4 linked regions of the Drosophila melanogaster genome follow. The protein of the gene in region 4 interacts with the protein of the main gene of each other region in a pairwise test. Each region holds a gene or a part of one and is shown on either strand. Other genes may lie near its edges. The genes, in order: CG15012, CG1637, Vti1a and rtv.

Region 1 (4,246 bases), on a different chromosome or scaffold from region 4:
TGGTGATGCTGCTGCTCGTCCTGGCCGTCGCCTCTCTAGTCGCCGCCTTCCTCTTCGTCCGCGTGCGTCACTTCGATCGCAAGGGAGCGGGCATGGCCTATGTGAACTAAGGATCTGAAATCGGGCCAGAGGACCGGACCATCATCACCATCAACAGCGACCGATCGGCGTGAACAGAAAACCAAATCAGTTTTATGTGCACTTCAGAAACACTCATTCCAAACCCATTCCCCATAGGCACCCCCCATCCCATAACTATTTATTCTTTGGTTATTTATTGAGATCCCACAATCCGCCACTTTCAAATGGTTTCCTACTTTACCACTACGCTCTATCCTTCATATGTTTCCCTAGTTTTAGGCAAAGCGAAATTGAATTGTCAGACTTGTTAAGTTTCAGTTATACCTACGCGGGATTTGAGGCCATCTGAACGAACAGATTAGCCTCGAATGTTACAATATGCAAGTTAATAATATCGAGAAAATAAACACAAACGAAGTAATGAAGCGGCAAACATGGAAAGGCAGAAAATCGTTTACAATAAGTTAATATAGCAAATGTATATATTAAATTATTTATTTATTACTTTATTTGATAGCTGCGAAATAATAAAAAGTTTACTTTTATTAAGCGACAAGTGTTTTAATGCGTTCTAATAGTACCTCTGATTATCGGAGCTTGGGAACGACTGATAAGGAAACGCAAACAAAGCTAATGCAAACTTTATCAGTGTGATGAAATGTTTGTGTGGGGGGCTTTGATAACAGCCCTTGTGTTGGCCGTGACTGGAAGTTTTGGTATAAACAAAACAAGTTTGGCAAAACGAATGAATAGAATAAAGAATAATATGGTTCGCATTGTCATACAAGCGAGGCAAATAGGAATATAAAATACGATCATCTTGAATTTGCTAACTAATGATCATAAACCTGTGTTCAAAAGTATACTACACACTTTTATTAGAACTATGATGCCGAGGAAAATCTTTGCGTGTGCCTGTTTATTTGCCGAGCACAACTTCGAGATCATGAATACACGCAGAAAAACACTTTTTAGCTGAGATATTTAAAAAACAAGAATGACCGATTTAAAATCGGCTAGTTTTGCCAATAGAATTAAAAAGGCAAATGAATTATTGGTTAAAAATGATATCTACGCTGGATGCTTTCCTCCACAGTTTCAATAAAACCAAGAGAAGTACGAAAATACATGTAAATTTATTGCAACACACTTATTTACATATTGATCTAATCCCTTTGAGCTTAAACACTTTAAAAACAACAGCGGACGCTAATCCGCAACTGGAATCGGATTAATGCGCGCATCCATTATAGCCGCCTGAGGTTTGTGTCCCTGGGACAATACATACGATTTCGTTCAAAAATATTGACTACATCTAGGTTGAACTAAAGCGAATTAGCACTCAAATTTGTAACAATTGATAACAGTGGTGGTGTCTATCTACGCGGCACGTGCGTCATTGATGGTGGAGGGCACATGTACCTCCAGGCCCTCCATATCCTTGGACAGGGTGATCTGGCAGCCCAGCCGCGAGGTGTCCGTCAGTTCGTACGCCAAATCCAGCATGTCCAGCTCCTCATCACCGGGTTTGTCGGGCAGTTTCTCGAAATCGCTGGTCTTGAAGATCAGGTGGCAGGTGGAGCAGGTCAGCGTGCCCTCACAGGCCCCGAAACCATCCAGATCCACATTGTTGTTGACCACCACGTCCAGCAGGGAGTCACCCACTTTTCCGGACGTCTTAATCTTGTCCCCATTGGCACGCACGAAGGTTATGTTAACACTGCAATAGCGAGATTGGTCAATGTTTACGCTGCTCTGGCGGTGTGGAGCTACCATTGTAGTGCTCGTGGGGTGGAGAAGATACTCACACATCTTTCGTTTTCAGGGCCAATCCCGTCGAGAAAGTACGCGTTGCGATCGGCGATCGCAAATTGAGGCTGCGTAGCGCCAATCTGGAGGCAGCTCTGCATGAGTTTATGACTAGCATTCTGGTTAGGATTCCTTTGCAATCTCTTACTATAACTGACAACACGCACCCACTCGTGTCGCTGCGATCGGTTGTTAAATAATAAGGAAATCAATTAAATTTTGTTAAACGTGAAGTTGTGTGTGACCGTATTGGACTTTCTGAAAAAGACGTCGTGCCTTTAACGTACTAAAAAACAACAACAAACTGCATAAGCAGTAATTTTAAAGTTAAACATTTAAATGTTTGCACAAATTATTGCACAAAATATTTAATTAACAGCAACTTTCTTTTTATAACGGAGTTAATTTGTGTTACACAAAAAGTATATGTTACTGCTGCAGTTCAGGTGTGAACACACTAAATACTGAAACAGGGTTGCTACAGCGAGTGAAGAAACCCTGTATTCACCTGCAGACAGACAACCCTGTGCGTCAAAACAAGAAGATTTAAGAGTGGAATAAATTTAATTACGTTTTAAAACCTAAACAATGGGCGTGTTGGACAATATTGCGTTGCATTTCACGGGGGATGCGTCCAGGAACAGGAACACCTCCATAATAGCCGGACTTCTGGTAGGCTAACACCCGCAAACAAAGAGCCGCCCGCCTGACAGTGCAACTTTTTCTCCTTAGTTTTTCGCAGGATGGTGGGTTCTAATCGATGCCATGTCCATCGACGGCAAGCACCAGATTACCACAGGACACGTCTTCATCGGCATCTTCGGGACCATCAGCTTCTGCATGGTGAACGCAGTGAAGGGAGAACATGTAACACACACTTATCATTGGGCTTAACAAGTGACTCACTTCTTTTGTTTGTGCGCAGATTTCTGATGAGAACTCATCGGAGTCCGGCGCCAGGATAGCGAAGATCTGGCTGCTTGTGGGCTTCCTAATGGGTTTTGCCTCCATCATTGCCGCCATCTGGGTGATGATCGACGACTTCATCAACAATGGTGAGAAATAAACAGATATTTAAGGATTCCTTAGCTGAATTGCACCCACTTATCGTTTTTCAGAAAAGAAGGATGGCTGGTTTGGCGTGGCTCTGCTGATGCAAAACGTCTTCATCCTGTTCGCCAGTTTGGTCTACAAGTTTGGACGCAACGAGGAAGAGTGGAATGAGTAAAGCTTCCATTCAAATTATTGCACAAGGGAACGCAGCTTTTAGTATCTAGACTCATTACGTACATAATCAGGAGTCCAAGGAGTTTATGCTTGAGGCCGAGGACACCATCACTCGCAAATCCTCACCCCACACATTGAAGCGTAAAATGTCCAACTCTGCTACTGTTCATATTCGAAAAAATCGTCGAGTCTGTACGGATTTCCCTCACTATTTCCGACATTCTGCCGCTTTGAATCGGAAAAGGGCGCAGAGCAGGGCCAATAATCTCATTTATATTTAACAAAATAAACGACAAGTCACTTGCGTAAGGCCACCTTTGAGCTGTACTTTATTTTCAGGCAGAGAGCGTTGTGAGAAGCAACAGGACGATCAACCCAAGCCGCCCGCTGCCCCGACTACATCTACAAGGATAGCGACCGTTAAGAGAAATGGTTTAATAGCTGGTCAAACTTGTGCATCGTACGCGTCAATGGGACACTCGTGCTCGTTTTGCAGGCACCACTGCGGCTGCATGGCCTCTGCGCCCAGACCATTGTCCACCAGTCGCTGGCGGTGGAGCAGCAGACGTGACTCCGCCTGGCGCCAACCTTCGGCAGGATTTGACCAAAGTCGTTCGGCCAGGGCACTGGCCCTGGGCCAGAAGCGGTTGTCCAGTGTGTGCTCGTCGATCTGCTCTGACCAAATGGCTCCCTCCGCGCCCAATACATGATGCTCGTAGTCGCCGGCAATGGATTTCAAACTATTGTCGTACACCTTCTGCCAGCCAATGTAGGGGGAGCACCAGTTGTTTCCATCGGTCACCCAGCCAGCTCCGCCGCAATCCAAGTACAGGGCATCGTAGTTGGACACAATGATCTTGTAGCCCCGCTCCAGAATCTTCTTTACCTTCGGATCTACACCAGTGGTCCAGATCTGAATGATGTAACGCTCTGGGTTCAGATACTCGTCAATGAAGGGCTCCTCAGTGAGTCCACTAGTCCACAGAATGATGGGCGTGTGCGTACCATTGGCCACCTTGTCCACGCGACCAAGAGCCTCCGTCTGGAAGTGTCCCCACAAGCGCATAAAGTCGGCGGTCTCCAGGCCCCAACCCTGTTTCTTCATCCACTGCTGGATGGGCTGGCTGCT
Region 2 (6,916 bases), 280 kb from region 4:
AGCGCAAGTTGTCCGTGGTCTCGGTACCCGAGGGTGTCATCTCGCAGCAAGCCAGATCCCCGCTGGACTACTACAGCAACACGGTCACGGCGGCCTCCAGTCAATCCTATTTGCGCAACGGACGCGGTCCGCCACCGCCCTTCGAATCGAATGGCAGCTTGGCCAGCGGCGGCGGCGGGCTAACGAACATGGGCTTCCAGATGGAGGATGGAGCAACCCCGCCATCGGCATTGGGCGGTGGAGCCTATCAACGCAAGGCGGCTGCTGGCAAGCGCCGACGCGAGAGCATCTACACCCAGAATCAAGCCCCATCCGCTCGCCGGGGCAGCATGTATCCGCCGACCGCGCACGCCTTGGCCCAGATGCAGATGCGACGCGGCAGCTTGGCAACCAGTGGCTCTGGATCGGCGGCCATGGCGGCAGTGGCCGCGCGTCGTGGCAGCCTCTTCCCAGCTACAGCATCGGCATCATCGCTGACCTCTGCTCCGCGCCGTAGCAGCATATTCTCGGTTACCTCCGAAAAGGATATGAATGTGCTGGAGCAGACGACCATTGCGGATCTGATTCGTGCGCTCGAGGTAGTGCACACCCATGCCGTGCTTGATGAACAGCAACAGGCGGCAGCGGCTGGAGGAGCTGCCGGTGGAGGCGGAATATCGAGGGGTAGCCGCAAACAGCGCAAGATGGGCAATGCTGGACTGGAGCCACCGCAGCTGCCGCCGATCCTGTCGCTCTTCGCTGGCGATCAAACGAGGACACTGCAGGCGGCGGCTGCCAATCGGCTGTACGCGCGTCGCTCCACTATTGTTGGCATATCGCCCACTGGTGGAGCAGCCACCGCACCGGCAGCCAGATCCCTGCTGGAACCGCCACCCAGTTACACTGAGAGAGCCGCAAATCAAAGCCAAATAACAGCCGGTCCATCGAATGCGCCAACTGTTCAGAGCAAATTCCGTCGTCGCTTTAGCGTGCGACCGACTGCTCTGCAAATTCCACCGGGACAGGCGCCGCCACCAGGTGCCAGTTTGATGGAGCAGTCCTCACAGACGGCGCTCCAGCGACGCCTCTCGCTGCGACCCTCGCCACTGGCCCGCGAACTGTCGCCCACGTCGCCGCCCGGAGGAAGTGGAAGCGCCTTGCCAGCGGGGGCCATCGACGAGTCTGGCGGAACGTCCGCTCAACGGCTGCTGCCCTTGCCCGCCGGAACGAGACCCAGCACCAGCAGCACCCACTCGCCGCTCTCGAGGATCGTGCAGATCTCGCAAGCACAGCGCAAGAGCAGCATGCCCAGTGCAGCGGCCACGGGATCGAGTGGTGCCCCCGCCGAGAAGTAGTTAGGTTTCCTTGTCCGAAAGATGTATTACCTGTATCGTATACATATGTATTTCCACGTCCAGCGGAATTGCTTTGCCAATTTCACAGCATGTATGCCACAAAGTCGATAAGGCTGCCAAAAGTCCTTAGTTGTTATGCTAATGTTATCCTTAAACCTATTTACATACGTATATCCAGTTATCCTAGTTGTATGTATTGTTAAAACTATCTCTCTATCTCTCTCTCTCTATTGTTATCCTGTATTTATACCCATATACCCTAATCTATATATCTATATATATATTCTTCTATGTTTATTGCTAAGAAGGCGCTTATATGAACAAAACGATCCGCATGTTTTCAAGCATTCAATTGGGACCGACAAAGGATCTCGAATTGTGTGTAGTTTCATTTAGCTCTTAGAGGGACTTCATTCCCCAAAACATTTCATATGCTGTTATATAATAAAGATATTCTGCAATAATGCGTACATTTCTAATTGATTGATTTAATTGAAATTGAGTAATTGGTCGAAATGTATTAACAATAGAATAACCAATTGAGCTGTTTTGAATTTGAAACGCTATTTCATTTTTATTCAAACAGCTTTAGATAAATTTGTCATTTTCACGTAATTTATTTACGTATCAAGTTCAAATCGCGCGCTCACTTATCGCTTTCTATCGATAGTTGTCGCCAGCGTGCAATCGTTACCACTGGCATTTGCTGTTCGGCGGCCAAGGTCACACTGCACCCGGATTGTTTTTGTTGTGGCTGCGCTTATAAATTGCTGGATATTTCCATATTAGTGCTCATTTTTTGTTGTTCCCGCAAGCGAATTTGTCGATTCCCCCGTTTAACTCCAACGACTCCCCGAGCCAAGTGTCCCCACTTTGACAACGACGCAATTGTGATTTGGCAATGTTTTTGCTGACTGCGTTACTGTGCAACAACAAACACAAGTAAATACAAAACGGTAAAAATGCAGAGACTGCAATTCGCTCTGCTAGCGTCGCTGCTCCTGCTGGTGCTGCTTCTTCCGGGGATTAGGAGCACTCCCATCGACCAGGACGTCGACATTGTTCACTATCAGCCGGAGCAAGTGCATCTGTCCTTTGGAGGTGAGTGCGATCTTCTTTACTTTTCGCATTATGTAAATTGCTCACCTGCAGCGTTGCATTAGTGTTAGAATACACTGGGAGAAAAATGATAGCTTGGCATATAAGTTTCTAATATTACAAATCTATCACGTAGGAAAGTTTATTTTATTTACATTACCTTACATTGTACTTACATTTTCCTTTATGTGTATTATCACATATGGTTTTGAAAAACATTGATCGTATAGTACGCAATTCCAGAGGCACTTATCGAGTGATATCAATACTTGCTTTCCAATCCCGCCCAGAATCATTTGCTACATAAAATGATTATCAGTGTCGTCGCCCCTATAAATGGGATGAACAAATGCAAATGCACCCACAATAACGGGCGCAATGCATAGTTATATTTAATTGTAGTTAATATCTATACGATCGTTAGTTACAGCCTACAAATTACAACAAGGTAATACCTAAGGTTTCCCCAAATATTGTATAAATATAGCTTTATATTAATAATCGAAAGTCCCATAAAACTCCAAAACTGATAACATCTAATTCCGAATTTTTGGAAGCAGCAATAAATTCAAGCTTATTTAAGGCCTGATGAGGTGGCAGGTCAAACACAAAAACATTAACAAACAATTTAAGTATGCCACTGTGAATGTGTTCGTGCACAATGCTAAAATTAATCGCTGTGTAGTGCGATTGGCGAAAAACTGAACAAGATTAAAAACGTCAGCCGCTCGGCCAGTCTTTTTTGTAATCAGGTGATTCCCCCCCAAAAAAAATAGCATTATTCCGCCATATTGGGGTTCCACTGTTGTCTACGACAACGCGGGCATTGCAAACTTCAAAACCCTGAAATGCAACCCAAAGATTGATAGACTTTGGCTCCCTGTGGGGCCTCATATTTGCCGATACGGTCGATCGTCATCCCACCGGCCATTTGGCTTTGTGTTCTAGTTTCTAGTTTCTGTTGGGTTGGCGATAAGGATGAAGCAAACAATGGAGCGTCGCTGCAAAGCAAAAATATCAGGGTTTTATTGGACAATAACATTTGGTCATGAATGACTGGACGACCCTGCACCCGTTACAGATTCAAATTCAATTTGGCACAAGCGATGCTAATGGGATTGAAGTTATTCATTAAAGTAACCAAGTAGCACTTGTTTCAATCAACTTTAATTATGCGAATCATTATCGTGGCAAATCTGGAATTCGAGTTCATTGTTTATATTATACTATAAATCTATACATTTTCATGTTTAGTAATCAGTATTAATGCCAAATCTAAATGATATTAGATGCCGGATGGGGGCTAATTGTTTGTTTTCCTTTCATTTGAAACGTACCAACATTGGACCAACGAAATTGCTCAAGTTTGTTTTTCTTTTACTCTTCCCCGTTTCTCGATATCCGCTTGTCCTCTGAAGCAGAACGCACCGATAGCGAGATAGTCGTCACTTGGTCCACGCGCAGCCTGCCGCCGGATCAGGAAGTGGGTGCGGTCAGCGTGGTGGAGTACGGTCAACTGGTAGACGGACAGGTCAGGCTCACCCAACAGGCCCGGGGAAAGGCTACTAAATTCGTGGACGGCGGTCACAAGCAGGCCACGCAGTTCATCCACAGGGTATGCATAGAGTATGCAACCGATCAAACGATTCAAGTAGATTGATGTGAGAATGTAAGAGGAATGCAACCTTGAATCCGGCTCTTAGAACCAAATTAAGAACCAATGAGCCAGGACTGCTTGCACTCCATCTCTTAACAATCAATCGATCCACCTTGACATCGCAGTTGATGTACCAGAAAGAGAGAGAAAAACTTATTGTTTACTTTGCTTAGGTGACGCTTAGGGACCTGGAGCCAAATGCCACATACTCTTACCATTGCGGTAGCGATTTTGGCTGGTCGGCCATCTTCCAGTTTCGCACAGTGCCCTCGGCATCCGTTGACTGGTCGCCATCGCTGGCTATCTACGGGGATATGGGCAATGAGAATGCCCAATCCCTGGCCCGATTGCAGCAGGAGACGCAGCGCGGCATGTACGATGCCATCATCCATGTGGGTGACTTCGCCTACGACATGAACACGAAGAATGCTCGCGTGGGGGATGAGTTTATGCGGCAGATCGAAACGGTGGCTGCCTACCTGCCATACATGGTGGTTCCCGGCAATCACGAGGAGAAGTTGTGAGTAGCTAGTAGAGCAGAGAGTAGAGTGTTTTTTGGTAGAAGCAGGATCTAATTGTTGGTGTTGCAGCAACTTCTCGAACTATCGTGCCCGCTTCAGTATGCCGGGAGGTACGGAGAACATGTTCTACAGCTTCGATCTGGGACCCGTGCACTTCGTGGGCATTAGCACGGAGGTCTACTACTTTCTCAACTATGGTTTAAAGCCGCTGGTATTCCAGTTCGAATGGTTGCGTGAGGATCTGGCCAAGGCCAATCTGCCAGAGAATCGGAACAAGCGTCCGTGGATCATCTTGTACGGTCATCGACCCATGTACTGCAGCAACGAGAACGACAATGACTGCACCCACTCAGAGACTCTCACGCGGGTGGGCTGGCCATTTGTACACATGTTCGGATTGGAGCCGCTGCTTTACGAGTTCGGCGTGGACGTGGCCATTTGGGCGCACGAGCACTCCTACGAGAGACTCTGGCCCATTTACGATTACAAGGTGCGCAATGGAACGCTGAAGGATTCGCCGTACAATGATCCTAGTGCCCCTGTGCACATCGTCACAGGATCCGCCGGCTGCAAGGAGGGAAGAGAACCATTCAAGGGCAAAATACCCGAATGGAGCGCTTTTCACAGCCAGGACTATGGTTACACACGGCTCAAGGCTCACAATCGAACACATATCCATTTCGAGCAGGTGTCCGACGACAAGAACGGCGCCATCATCGATGACTTTTGGTTGGTGAAATCCAAGCATGGAAGCTACCGAAACTAAATAGTCATTCCCAATCTGAACCATAACCTGAGCCGAATCAATTCAAGCTAAAGGAGTCTCTCGAGGCATTACACGCATCAATAGCAACAGGCAGTATTAGTAGCGCACATTCGCCTCGACCTGATTCGATCACAAACTATAGCAATAAGCGTGGCACATTCCTTATCCAAATATCTCAACCCAGCCCGAAACAAACTACAGTTTTATACTTAGCCAATTTAACAAACGCAGCATTTACACATATGCAAGCGCTTTTAAGTGTGCATTTAACATAAGCTGATAAGAACGTAAATGAACTTAGTTTCTTATCTCTGTCGCATGTTACTTGATGTTCAAAAACTGGTACTCGGTAACTGCTGTCTTAAGCAAATTGTTTTTAATGTGTATGGGATGTACTTGATATACTTATTAGGATCAATGTTAAAGGACTAATGGATATGCACCCGATCGGTTTTTATTATCAATAAGTACATGAAATCCGATTACCGGGTTTATTATAGTCACGGCAATCCGATTGTACACTGATTGTTGTTTAAATGCCTAGTATCTTTACAATAAATGTCTTGAACTTTTCATTGTGCTTATTGTTTTGGGATAAAACAATTCAATATCATAAAACTGGGAACAACTCAATTGAGAATTCAACGATCAATCAAATGGTTTGTGAGTGAATCCATTAATAGTTGACTTCATCTTGTAGACAAGTGTTGTAAATATGTGACATGCTCAGTGTTAAGCTCCTAGTTAATCAGTGTGCTTGTGCAGAAACCGTGCTCGACATTGTCGTCACCTGGAACACGCGCGACAACACCAACGAATCAATCTGTGAGTTCGGCATCGATGGACTGCATCAGCGAGTGAAGGCGACGCAAATGCCCACGAAATTCGTGGATGGTGGAGCCAAAAAGGCCACCCAGTATATACATCGTGTGAGTAACGACGCAGCAAGAGTCGCAAACGAAGGCATCTAATCCATGAACCCATCCGAATGCAGGTGACGCTGTCCCACCTGAAACCGAATAGCACCTATCTCTACCACTGTGGCAGTGAGTTGGGCTGGTCCGCCACCTATTGGTTTCGGACGCGATTCGATCACGCCGACTGGTCGCCCTCGTTGGCGATCTACGGCGATATGGGCGTGGTGAATGCGGCATCCCTTCCAGCGCTGCAGCGTGAAACGCAGAGCGGCCAGTACGACGCCATCATCCATGTGGGAGACTTCGCCTACGACATGGACTGGGAAAACGGAGAGGTCGGCGACGAGTTTATGCGCCAGGTGGAGACCATAGCCGCCTACTTACCATATATGGTGTGCGTGGGCAACCACGAGGAGAAGTAGTAAGTGCTACACCACAAGCCAATTGCGATGATGATAATGATGATGACTGATATAAGGACTTTTCCCTTTCAACCCATAGCAACTTTTCGCACTACATCAATCGGTTCAGCATGCCGGGTGGATCGGATAACATGTTCTATAGCTTCGATCTTGGACCGGTGCACTTCATCGGTTTTAGCACAGAAGTCTATTATTTCACTA
Region 3 (4,415 bases), on a different chromosome or scaffold from region 4:
ATAATGGGTGGAATTGTTTTGCCTAAACTAAAACCAAATGCAGATCTCAACTGATAAGACCATTTGAATTCGAATAACTCGAATTATCGGTTATCGATAGCGTTCAAATGGCTGGCAACTCTGCGATGTTGGCTGTTTTTGCACAAACAGCTGTTGTCGCACTGTTGTTGTCGCCTTTGTGTCTGCAGGTGCAAAATAATATATTAATTGGATTAACTTGGGATTAATCGAGCGATCACAGCCATGGCCACGATGCGCATACCCAAACAAAAGGTGATCCTGTGCGGCGACTACGGAGTGGGCAAGAGCTCCCTGTTCCGGCGCTTCGCCACCAACACCTTCATCACGGATACGGACAGGAAATCCACGTTGGGACTGGACCACATCGATAGGGAATACAGTGTGAATGAAAAGCAGATCAAGGTGGGCTCGGGAACCTCTAAAAGGGCGTGATGGCTGAGATATGAATCCTTAAGCTCTTTAGTTCGATTTCTAGACGAAAGCCACAGTTCTTCAGACTTACAACTTATTGCGTTGTGAGACACTTATGTATATACCGTCTTCTTTGACAGCTCCAACTCTGGGACACCGGTGGCATGGAGCGTGTGGCCTCGGTCACATCCTCGTACTACAAGTTCGCCGAGGGAGCCATCCTGGTCTTTGCTTTGGACAACGCCGCTTCGTTCCACTCGCTGTCGCAGCACTTGCTGGACATTGTGACCTATGCAGAGAATGCCAAGATCTTCATCTGTGGCAATAAGAGCGATCTGGATGGCAGGGAGCCGGAGGTCAGCGATGAGGAAGTGGAGGCCTTCTGCGAGCAGTGCCACTCACTGATCAGTGCCACGTACAAGACCTCCTGTCGCAGCGGCGCCGGTGTGGAGGAGATGTTCCGTGACATCTCTAGGCAACTGGTCCACGCCAATCGCTCCAAAATGGAACTGCAGGCACTGGAGCACAAGAGCTTCCAGGTGGACACTGCGAGCAGCGGCGCGGCGACCAACGAGGAGGACGCCTCCTCCTGCGGCTGCTAGCAGTTGGGGAACATTGAGTTCGGCTAGGAACCCTTATTCCCGCCAGGCTCAATGCTCACGCAGAGATGCATTTTTACTGTTTCCTTTATTTATTGATAGCTTTCGGCTATGTTATGATTTTTAGATACGTACATGTTCAATTCGAATTTTTACGAAAAATACGTCCCGAACGCGAACACGAGTCATAGAGTAGGATTAGTTTCTATTAACCAGGCGCCAAACATTAACCACTTAAACTTTGTACACGTAAGCTAGGATGGCGGATACGCGAGTGATAGGTTAGAAATCTGCGGTAAGAATTAAAAAGTAATAGGAATTCCATCGATTAACAAGAAGGTCAATTTAATCTTAAAGGTAAAAGGACAACAAAATATATAGACATCGATTGACCGCAGATAACTACTCTAAGCTTCGACTCTTATTGCACGTAATACTCCATCCTATCTTATATAGATTAGTGCGTAATCTGCAGCTTTCTTCCACAGAATATCTCGTAAAAATAAAATATACTAAACAATAAATAATCAACTCACGAAATTGGAATGGACAGGCTTCTATAACATTTGAATTTGGGCTAAGATCATTGGCTATTGGTTTGCTAGCTAAAATTACTACGACGAGGCGGTGCTGCTTGAACTGGGTGCGAAGGTCAGATAGAGACTGACGCCCACGGCCACCACAAAGCAGACACCCACTCCATACAAGACCACCTTCTCCCGCAGGGCTCTTAACATCATGGTATTCAGAGTGCGAGAAGCTCTTCCCAGCTCGGCATTGGTTTCTCGAAGTCGAGCCCTGGCTCCCTGTAGAGTTTCCCTTTGGTGGTGCAGATCATTTAGGACCTGGGCGCCCAGTTGCTCCGTCTCCAAGGCCACTCTGTACCCTTCGGTTAACCTGTTGCCCGTCCGTTCAATCCTTTCCGAGTTGTCCAAGAGGCGTTGGCGTTGATCTGTACTTATGGACACATCCTCATAGCTGTCACCCAAGTCCAGAGTGGTGAATGTGTTGGCTTGGGAGCGCTGTTTGTCCTTGGTCAACCTGTACTCCGCCTGCAGCCGTTTCAGTTCTGCCTGGGCCACCTGCAGCTTTCCGTTGAAGCTGCTCCGCAGTCCAGGATTTAGCTCCCTCACCTCCAGACCCATCTGCTCCAGCAATTCCTGAGCCTCGGGCAAACTGGAGTCGATCTTGCTGCACAAATCATGGCGCTCGCCTGGAGTAAATGGACAAATGGTAATCACCATAATGTACAATCCATGGACAATCATCCCACTCACTGTTGTTGTTTTGCTGCTGCAGCCGTCCAATATGGGCCGTTATTTCTGCTATTAACGTGGCGTATTGCTGTTCGTATTGCTCCAGAAGCGACATTTGTGCGGTTTTTATTCTACCTTATTCAGTTGTTTATGGTATTTGTTCTGTTTTAGTTCGCGAAAATTACAGATTTATCGAAGAAAAGAAGTAAACATTGTCCAAGTGTGGCCGAGTCATGAGGTGAACAGTAATACAGCAATCTATAAATACTTTTAAGTCGTGGTCACTCTGATTTCGAGTCAGCGTTGCCATACTCATGTAAAAAACACTGCCAACTTCAAGGACTACAATATTCTCGTAAGAACTCAGATAAAACCAACTTCCGTTTTAAATACGTAAATAAAACACAAACATATCTATTATTTTATAAATTCCATTTTATTGTACTTAGAGTAATTAATAAATTAATTAATTAGGTTCAGCTTTATGCGAGTGGAGATTCTTTGTTAACCTAAGCAACTGTTTTGGCGGTAGTACGATTTAATAATACTACATGATACATATGTACACTGTTCATCACATTTATGTTTTGTGCTGTCCTGGTCCGCGATTAGAAAACTCTTAACCCTCGACCAGTGTGGCCTTGTCCCCTTTTCGGAGCACCAGTTCCAATTGGGACAGCAAGCCAATAGCCCGAAAGTTCTCCTTGAAGAGCACGAAGTCCTCCAGCGGTTTTAGGTACTCCAAGGCCTGGTGGTAGCTTTCCAACTCCTTCAGCATGCATAAAGCCTTCTTATCCTCGGGGTCTGGGGATGTGTGTCCATTGGTTTGGCTGCCGGAGGAGCTGGATCCATTGGGGATCTTTTTTGGCGAGGCGGGAGCAGAGGCGGGTTTGGTGGACGCAGCTCGAGCTGGTGCAGGTGAGTCCTTTCCCTTGGAAGAAAGGGCAGGCGTGGATTTGCCACTTGTTCCGCCTCCCTTGGGGGCGTTCTCCTTGCTGCTGGCACTGTCTCTTCCCCCGCTATTATTGTTGTTCTGCTCGTTGGGACTGGAACTTCGACTGTGCTTGCTGGTTAAGGTTGATTCTGCTAGCGGATATGGTGGTGAGTTCACCGCTGAGTTAATCTCTTGCACTTCGTCATCATCGGGTGACTCCATTTTGGGTCTCTTGGCCAACTGAACGGGCTGGAAGGGACTGGCCCGCTGCGGTGGAACATTTGGCGGCAATTGGGGCTGAAAGGGTTCCCTTTGAGGTGGCATAGTGGGTGGAAACTGTTGCATCTGCTGCTGCTGCTGGAGTTGCTGTTGCATTTGCTGTTGATGCCGCTCGAAATAAAAGTCGTTGAAGCTGGCGAACCCGGGGTGTGGAGTAGGATGTCCGGGATGTCCTGGAAACGGTGGCCATGGGTGGCCCATTTGATGCTGCTGCTGTTGCATATGTTGCTGCTGGAGGGCAAAGTGCTGCTGTTGCTGCTGCTGTTGCTCTTGATAGCTCTGCTCCTTTACATCCATACTGTCATCATCTTCTTCGTATTCTCCGTACTGTTGCATGTAGGTCATGTACTGCTCGGGCATCTCCTCCAGTTTGGCCACTCTTTCAGCGCTCGCGGGCGGAAAGAGATGGGCTAGGTCCTGTACGATGTCCGGGATCCACAGGGAGGATCCTAGTGGCTTCAACTGGTTGCTGGCTAGTTTTTGGGCAAAGCCTTGAAGATGAGTCTCTCGGAAACGGTTTAACCAGCGATTGTCTGCTATAAAGGATGTGCTCCCTATGACTTGTCTGGCATTCTCCGCCTTGTCCTTGATCATTCCGTGGGTAATGCTACCTCGCAGCTGGGGATTGATATTGGCCCTTACTAGCCATTCGTATACCACTGCATTGATGTAGGCGCACTTTCGGCTCCTCTCGATCTCCTCCACCATGGCCTGCTGCTCAACGGCCTCCAGGTTGGAGGGAACTTCCAGACGCAGGGTGGGCAGCGCATTCGACTGCAGTCGCCTGCCACCCAAGACACTGGGGTCAAAGTGCAGGGCACATACCACTGGCTTTTTGAAGGGCACAATTCGTCTTAGGGAGGCGTGGCACGCCTCCTTCCACAGCTTGTGGAAGGGGTTCTCCGGCCGGGGAAA
Region 4 (4,247 bases):
ATTTGTCGATATCATATTGTAATGTACAGAGTTACATGCTCTGAAAGTTAAGTATTATTACAATAATGGTTCAAATTTCATATTTTTCCACCTCGAACTACCTACCTACTTATTTGTTCTATAGTTTCTGTTTTTTTGGTAACTGATCTTATATCTTGAGTTATCTTGGTGCTTGCATTTTGGGGGATTACGCATATGTCAATTGGGGTTGTGTTCCCTTTTTGGGAGGTTTACTTGCTGAAGTAGTCGCTACTACTGCAATTGCACTCACCATAGGTTCTCCTTTTCCGCGGCCGCATCCTTTTTCTTCATGGTAAAGGATGATGTCAGCGCATTCGTTTGCGTCCCACTGTTCATCGCCATGTTGTTGTTGGTGCTGCAGCTGCGGTGCTCCTATTGGAACGCTCTCCACTCCTGGCTGGGTCCAATTGGGAAACGGGATGTGCTGGCGCTGCAACAGAGAGTGCTAAAGAGAGAGAGGGAGAGTGGAAGAGAGGGAAGATGAGAAACAGTTGGCAAACAAAAACAAACACATGCGCGACAGAGCGAGACGGCTGCCAGGTGTCGGCTGCATATGATTTAGCAGTCTATTTAAATAATTTTACTGCAAGGCTGCGCACTTGTATTATTTTTGTTTAATTCTCTATGCATTTGTCACCACGCTCTCTCTCCCACCCACTCTCACTTCCAATTCTGTTGCTTTAGTTACGACGCACAGCTGCTGACAAATTCGCAAAATTTCCTCTTCTACTCAATCTATCTCTCTCGCTCACTCTATTTTCTTTCTTTCCTCCTTTCTGATTGCCCACTTTTTTTATTCCGTTTCCTACGTACGCAGTTTCTCACGCTCTTCGCTCTCCTCTCCAGTGAAAACTCGCGCCCTGGATTTTCACGCACGTCCTCTCCGCTGGACAGCCTTTCGATCGTTTCAATTAGACAAGGCAAACTTAAATAATATAATGTATATTTATGTGGAGAAGAGCCGCGTTCGTGTGCGTTTCCACTGGAGTTTTTTCAGCGCCGTTGCGTCGTCGAATCTGACTGCCTCTCCTCTTCACTGCTCTTCTTCTTCACTTCTGCTTTGCTTTGCTTTTCCTTTCGCACCAATTATTCGTGTAAAAATACTGCAAAAAATACCGATACCAAATGGTGACCCGGGTATGGTCACACTTGGCACTAGCAGGTGCGGGAAATACCGTTCCCACAACAATCACTTTTGTAACTATTCTGTATTTCTTTTTGTACTTTTCTCCCGGCGTTTATTTATTTATATGGCTGGTAAAATGATAGCAAGAGGGAACGCTTTAGTGGAGGTACTGACTATCAGATACCCGTTAAATTACTTCGAATAACGAGTAACTAATAATTAAAAAGTAAATATTCCAATAACGATTTGACGCTGCTCATAGATGTCGCTTTAATCTCATTGTGAACTTTGATCGCATTTCCAGCAGATGGCGCTGTGGCAAAGCTACTATTTCTGGTATCTACTAAAATTCTAGCATTTACTTATGCAAGCATGCAATAGTATCGATACTATCGATAAATTAATCTAGCTAGCATTATTTTGGAATATATTTTTGAAATAATTAATCGTTGATAAAATTGTAATTTTTGTATATATGTATATACATATATTTATATTAAATAACGTATTTATTTATTTTTGCAGAGCTTTTTACCTTTTGGATTCGCTGGAATTCCAGCGCCTGGTAACACTAATTCACGATTAAACTTCCTTGACTTAACATTTACATATATTTACTATTATTCATTATTATCATTATTGACTAGTTAGTAGGCGAAATAAGAAGACGGGACCATGCAATTTACGAGCCTTTTACTGGCTGTGATTTTTCTCATAAGTCTGGTTTCAATCGATGGTGAGTTCGTGTTCTCGTTGAAGTCTTTTGTTTAAGTTGCATATGTGTTGTGTGTGTGTGAGAGAGATATAATTCGATTTTCACATGGGGAAAACGGCGAAATCAAATTAAAAACTAACTTTTTCCGTTGTATTGTTATTTGCTTAATTGTTCCATTTGCATATTATTTAAAATTTTCATTTTTAATTCACTTTTAGATTTAAACGCTCAGTAAAACCATGTTTTAAATTTTAAATATTTGAACTTTCAATTGTAGGCCTTCTGCGCCGCTGCTATCAGTGCCGATCCCGTGGCGAACTGGGCAGCTGCAAGGACCCCTTCACCTTCAATGCAACGGACGTGGAGCAGGAACCGGGAGTGGCGGCCATCCCGTGCGCCAGCGGCTGGTGCGGCAAGGTGATCGAGGGCGGCGGCACCTATGCCATCGACGACTACGACCTGGCCATCCAGCGGATGTGCGTGCAGCGCGGTCCGGACGACAACATGGATCGCTGTGCGGACACCATCTACAACTATAAGAAGGTGTACATGTGCTTCTGCCAGGGCGACCTGTGCAACGGCGCGAGGAGCTGGTCCAGTGCACCCCAGATGATCCTCATCACCATGCTGCCGCTGCTCGGCTCCTGGCTGCTCCAGCGGATGCGAAACTAGACTGTTTGCTTTCTGTGCTCTTAGCCGGCAATGTGTATATACATCTTCCAATACTCAGCAACACTCAATGTAATATCAACAGTTCGATAAATACAAACAATTTTTTGTTATTACTTAAAATCGAATGTTCTTGCTCTGCTTAAGATTTTATTGCCGTTTACTCGTGCATTTTTTCGTATCATTTTTCCGATCGCAAATAAGGTACTTACATTCAATATGTAACCATTGATTATGGCTATATATGGCATAGATCCCGACTTCGGGTCAATCAGCTATCAGTGGAACAGACTCGATTGTTTGCGAAAAAGAAACAATATGAATATTATTCATATACCTAATTAAATCACTCCTGCTGCGTAACACCATTCTCTTTGTTTGCAAATAGAATATCCATTCGTTTTAATTAGTATATTTATAAAATAAGAATATAATAATCATTTATATAATCATATAATCATTTAAGTAATAATAAATTTTAATATAAAAACACGAACTCAGCATACCAACTAGGGTTGATTCAAATATATACAATCCTTTATGCAAGAATGAGAAACATTTAACATCAATGGCTCACTTGGCAACGCACTACTTCTCCAACTTATCTTTTTCGCGCAAGCATGGGGGGCAGCGAGAGTTCTGCAGCTGCATCAGCTGGCGATTTTTGGTGAACTCGTGGCAGTCCATGTGGTATAATCCGCTGCACAAGTGGCAGTACATCGCTTCGGTTTCTGGGAAAAAAAAAACAAGCAAAACAATAAAATATTAATAAAATCATTAAATGGGTAATACGAATTTAAGAAAACCAACTCAACAAGTTTGTGGTTGGTGGATGACTCACCCACACGACGTTTGCATTCACGGCACTCGCGGCATTTGCGGCACTTGGAGGCACCGCCGTCTTTATGCTGACAGGCTGATGAAGACGCAGTTCCCGATGCGCCAGATCCTCCTCCTGCGCTGCTCTTCTCCGAAATCTCGTCCGGCGACTTGCTCTTGCGTGTGTACGTCCTCTTCGAGTTGGCCTGCAAACGTTTTTCCGTCGGCGAGAGCAGGAATTCGGACTTCTCCTTGGTCTTCTTCTGACCACGAACGCCCATGACTAACGCGTCCACGGCATTCAACTGCTGGCCATAGTGAAAATCCACTCCGCTGGCATTCTGAACGGTGCGACGCTTGCGCTTCGAGTGGCGCTGACTGAGCTTCTTGAGCACCTCCGGCGAGTAGAGCTCAAAGAGGCCGAGGAACGTCTCCTGGCCGTACTCCTCCGGCTGGGTGCGGCTCTCGCGCGGCTCATCGCGCCACTGGGCGGCGGATGCGACGCGTCTTTGCTGCTCCTGCTGCAGCTCGGCACTGGAATCATCGGAGCTGCCGGATGACGATACCGCTGGCTGCGACTGTCCACTGGATGTGGGCGTTGGCGAGGATTTCCTGCACGTGTTTTTGCTCTTCGCGGTATTATTCTTCGCCATCCCCTGACTAGACATTTGTGGGATGGTCTTCTTGGCTGCCTGATTGGCGGCAGCATTCGTTGGCTCCAGCGATGGCGGTGTCCCCTTGCCATCGCTGGTTCTGTTCTTGTTGCGATCGTTCTGCAAACTGGTGATCTCCAGGTCCTCCTCGTCGTCGAACAAACGTGGCTGCTGCTTCGTCTTTCTGGCCCTTCTCAATGCCTGCTGCAAGTTCTTGCGACTCTGGGCCACAACGTGAAAGTTT

The links.
Region 1: the proteins of rtv (region 4) and CG15012 interact in a two-hybrid assay, tested with the Drosophila melanogaster proteins (one large-scale study listed by BioGRID).
Region 2: the proteins of rtv (region 4) and CG1637 interact in a two-hybrid assay, tested with the Drosophila melanogaster proteins (one large-scale study listed by BioGRID).
Region 3: the proteins of rtv (region 4) and Vti1a interact in a two-hybrid assay, tested with the Drosophila melanogaster proteins (one large-scale study listed by BioGRID).

What each region holds. Positions count from the first base shown.
Region 1 is NT_037436.4:4,290,386-4,294,631, reverse strand, and holds CG15012 (uncharacterized protein), read left to right. Parts: upstream 1-2,385; 5' UTR 2,386-2,478; coding exon 2,479-2,562; intron 2,563-2,622; coding exon 2,623-2,757; intron 2,758-2,815; coding exon 2,816-2,945; intron 2,946-3,008; coding exon 3,009-3,118; 3' UTR 3,119-3,424; downstream 3,425-4,246. Other genes in the region: dyl (dusky-like), read left to right, coding at 1-110; Fdx2 (ferredoxin 2), read right to left, coding at 1,462-1,801, 1,890-2,008; Hexo1 (hexosaminidase 1), read right to left, coding at 3,453-3,519, 3,582-4,246.
Region 2 is NC_004354.4:10,872,934-10,879,849, reverse strand, and holds CG1637 (uncharacterized protein), read left to right. Parts: upstream 1-2,051; 5' UTR 2,052-2,296; coding exon 2,297-2,435; intron 2,436-3,850; coding exon 3,851-4,047; intron 4,048-4,262; coding exon 4,263-4,609; intron 4,610-4,679; coding exon 4,680-5,376; 3' UTR 5,377-5,950; downstream 5,951-6,916. Other genes in the region: Ork1 (open rectifier K[+] channel 1), read left to right, coding at 1-1,334.
Region 3 is NT_037436.4:690,377-694,791, forward strand, and holds Vti1a (vesicle transport through interaction with t-SNAREs 1a), read right to left. Parts: upstream 2,544-4,415; 5' UTR 2,403-2,543; coding exon 2,309-2,402; intron 2,245-2,308; coding exon 1,646-2,244; 3' UTR 1,110-1,645; downstream 1-1,109. Other genes in the region: RabX6, read left to right, coding at 244-423, 573-1,034; CG13894 (uncharacterized protein), read right to left, coding at 2,907-4,415.
Region 4 is NC_004354.4:11,151,253-11,155,499, reverse strand, and holds rtv (retroactive), read left to right. Parts: upstream 1-1,509; 5' UTR 1,510-1,607; intron 1,608-1,672; 5' UTR 1,673-1,822; coding exon 1,823-1,883; intron 1,884-1,925; exon of another isoform or gene 1,926-2,012; intron 2,013-2,139; coding exon 2,140-2,534; 3' UTR 2,535-3,016; downstream 3,017-4,247. Other genes in the region: Dlic (dynein light intermediate chain), read right to left, coding at 272-363; Lint-1 (l(3)mbt interacting protein 1), read right to left, coding at 3,120-3,262, 3,373-4,247. UniProt on the Drosophila melanogaster protein: Required for chitin fiber assembly and organization involved in cuticle formation and tracheal development.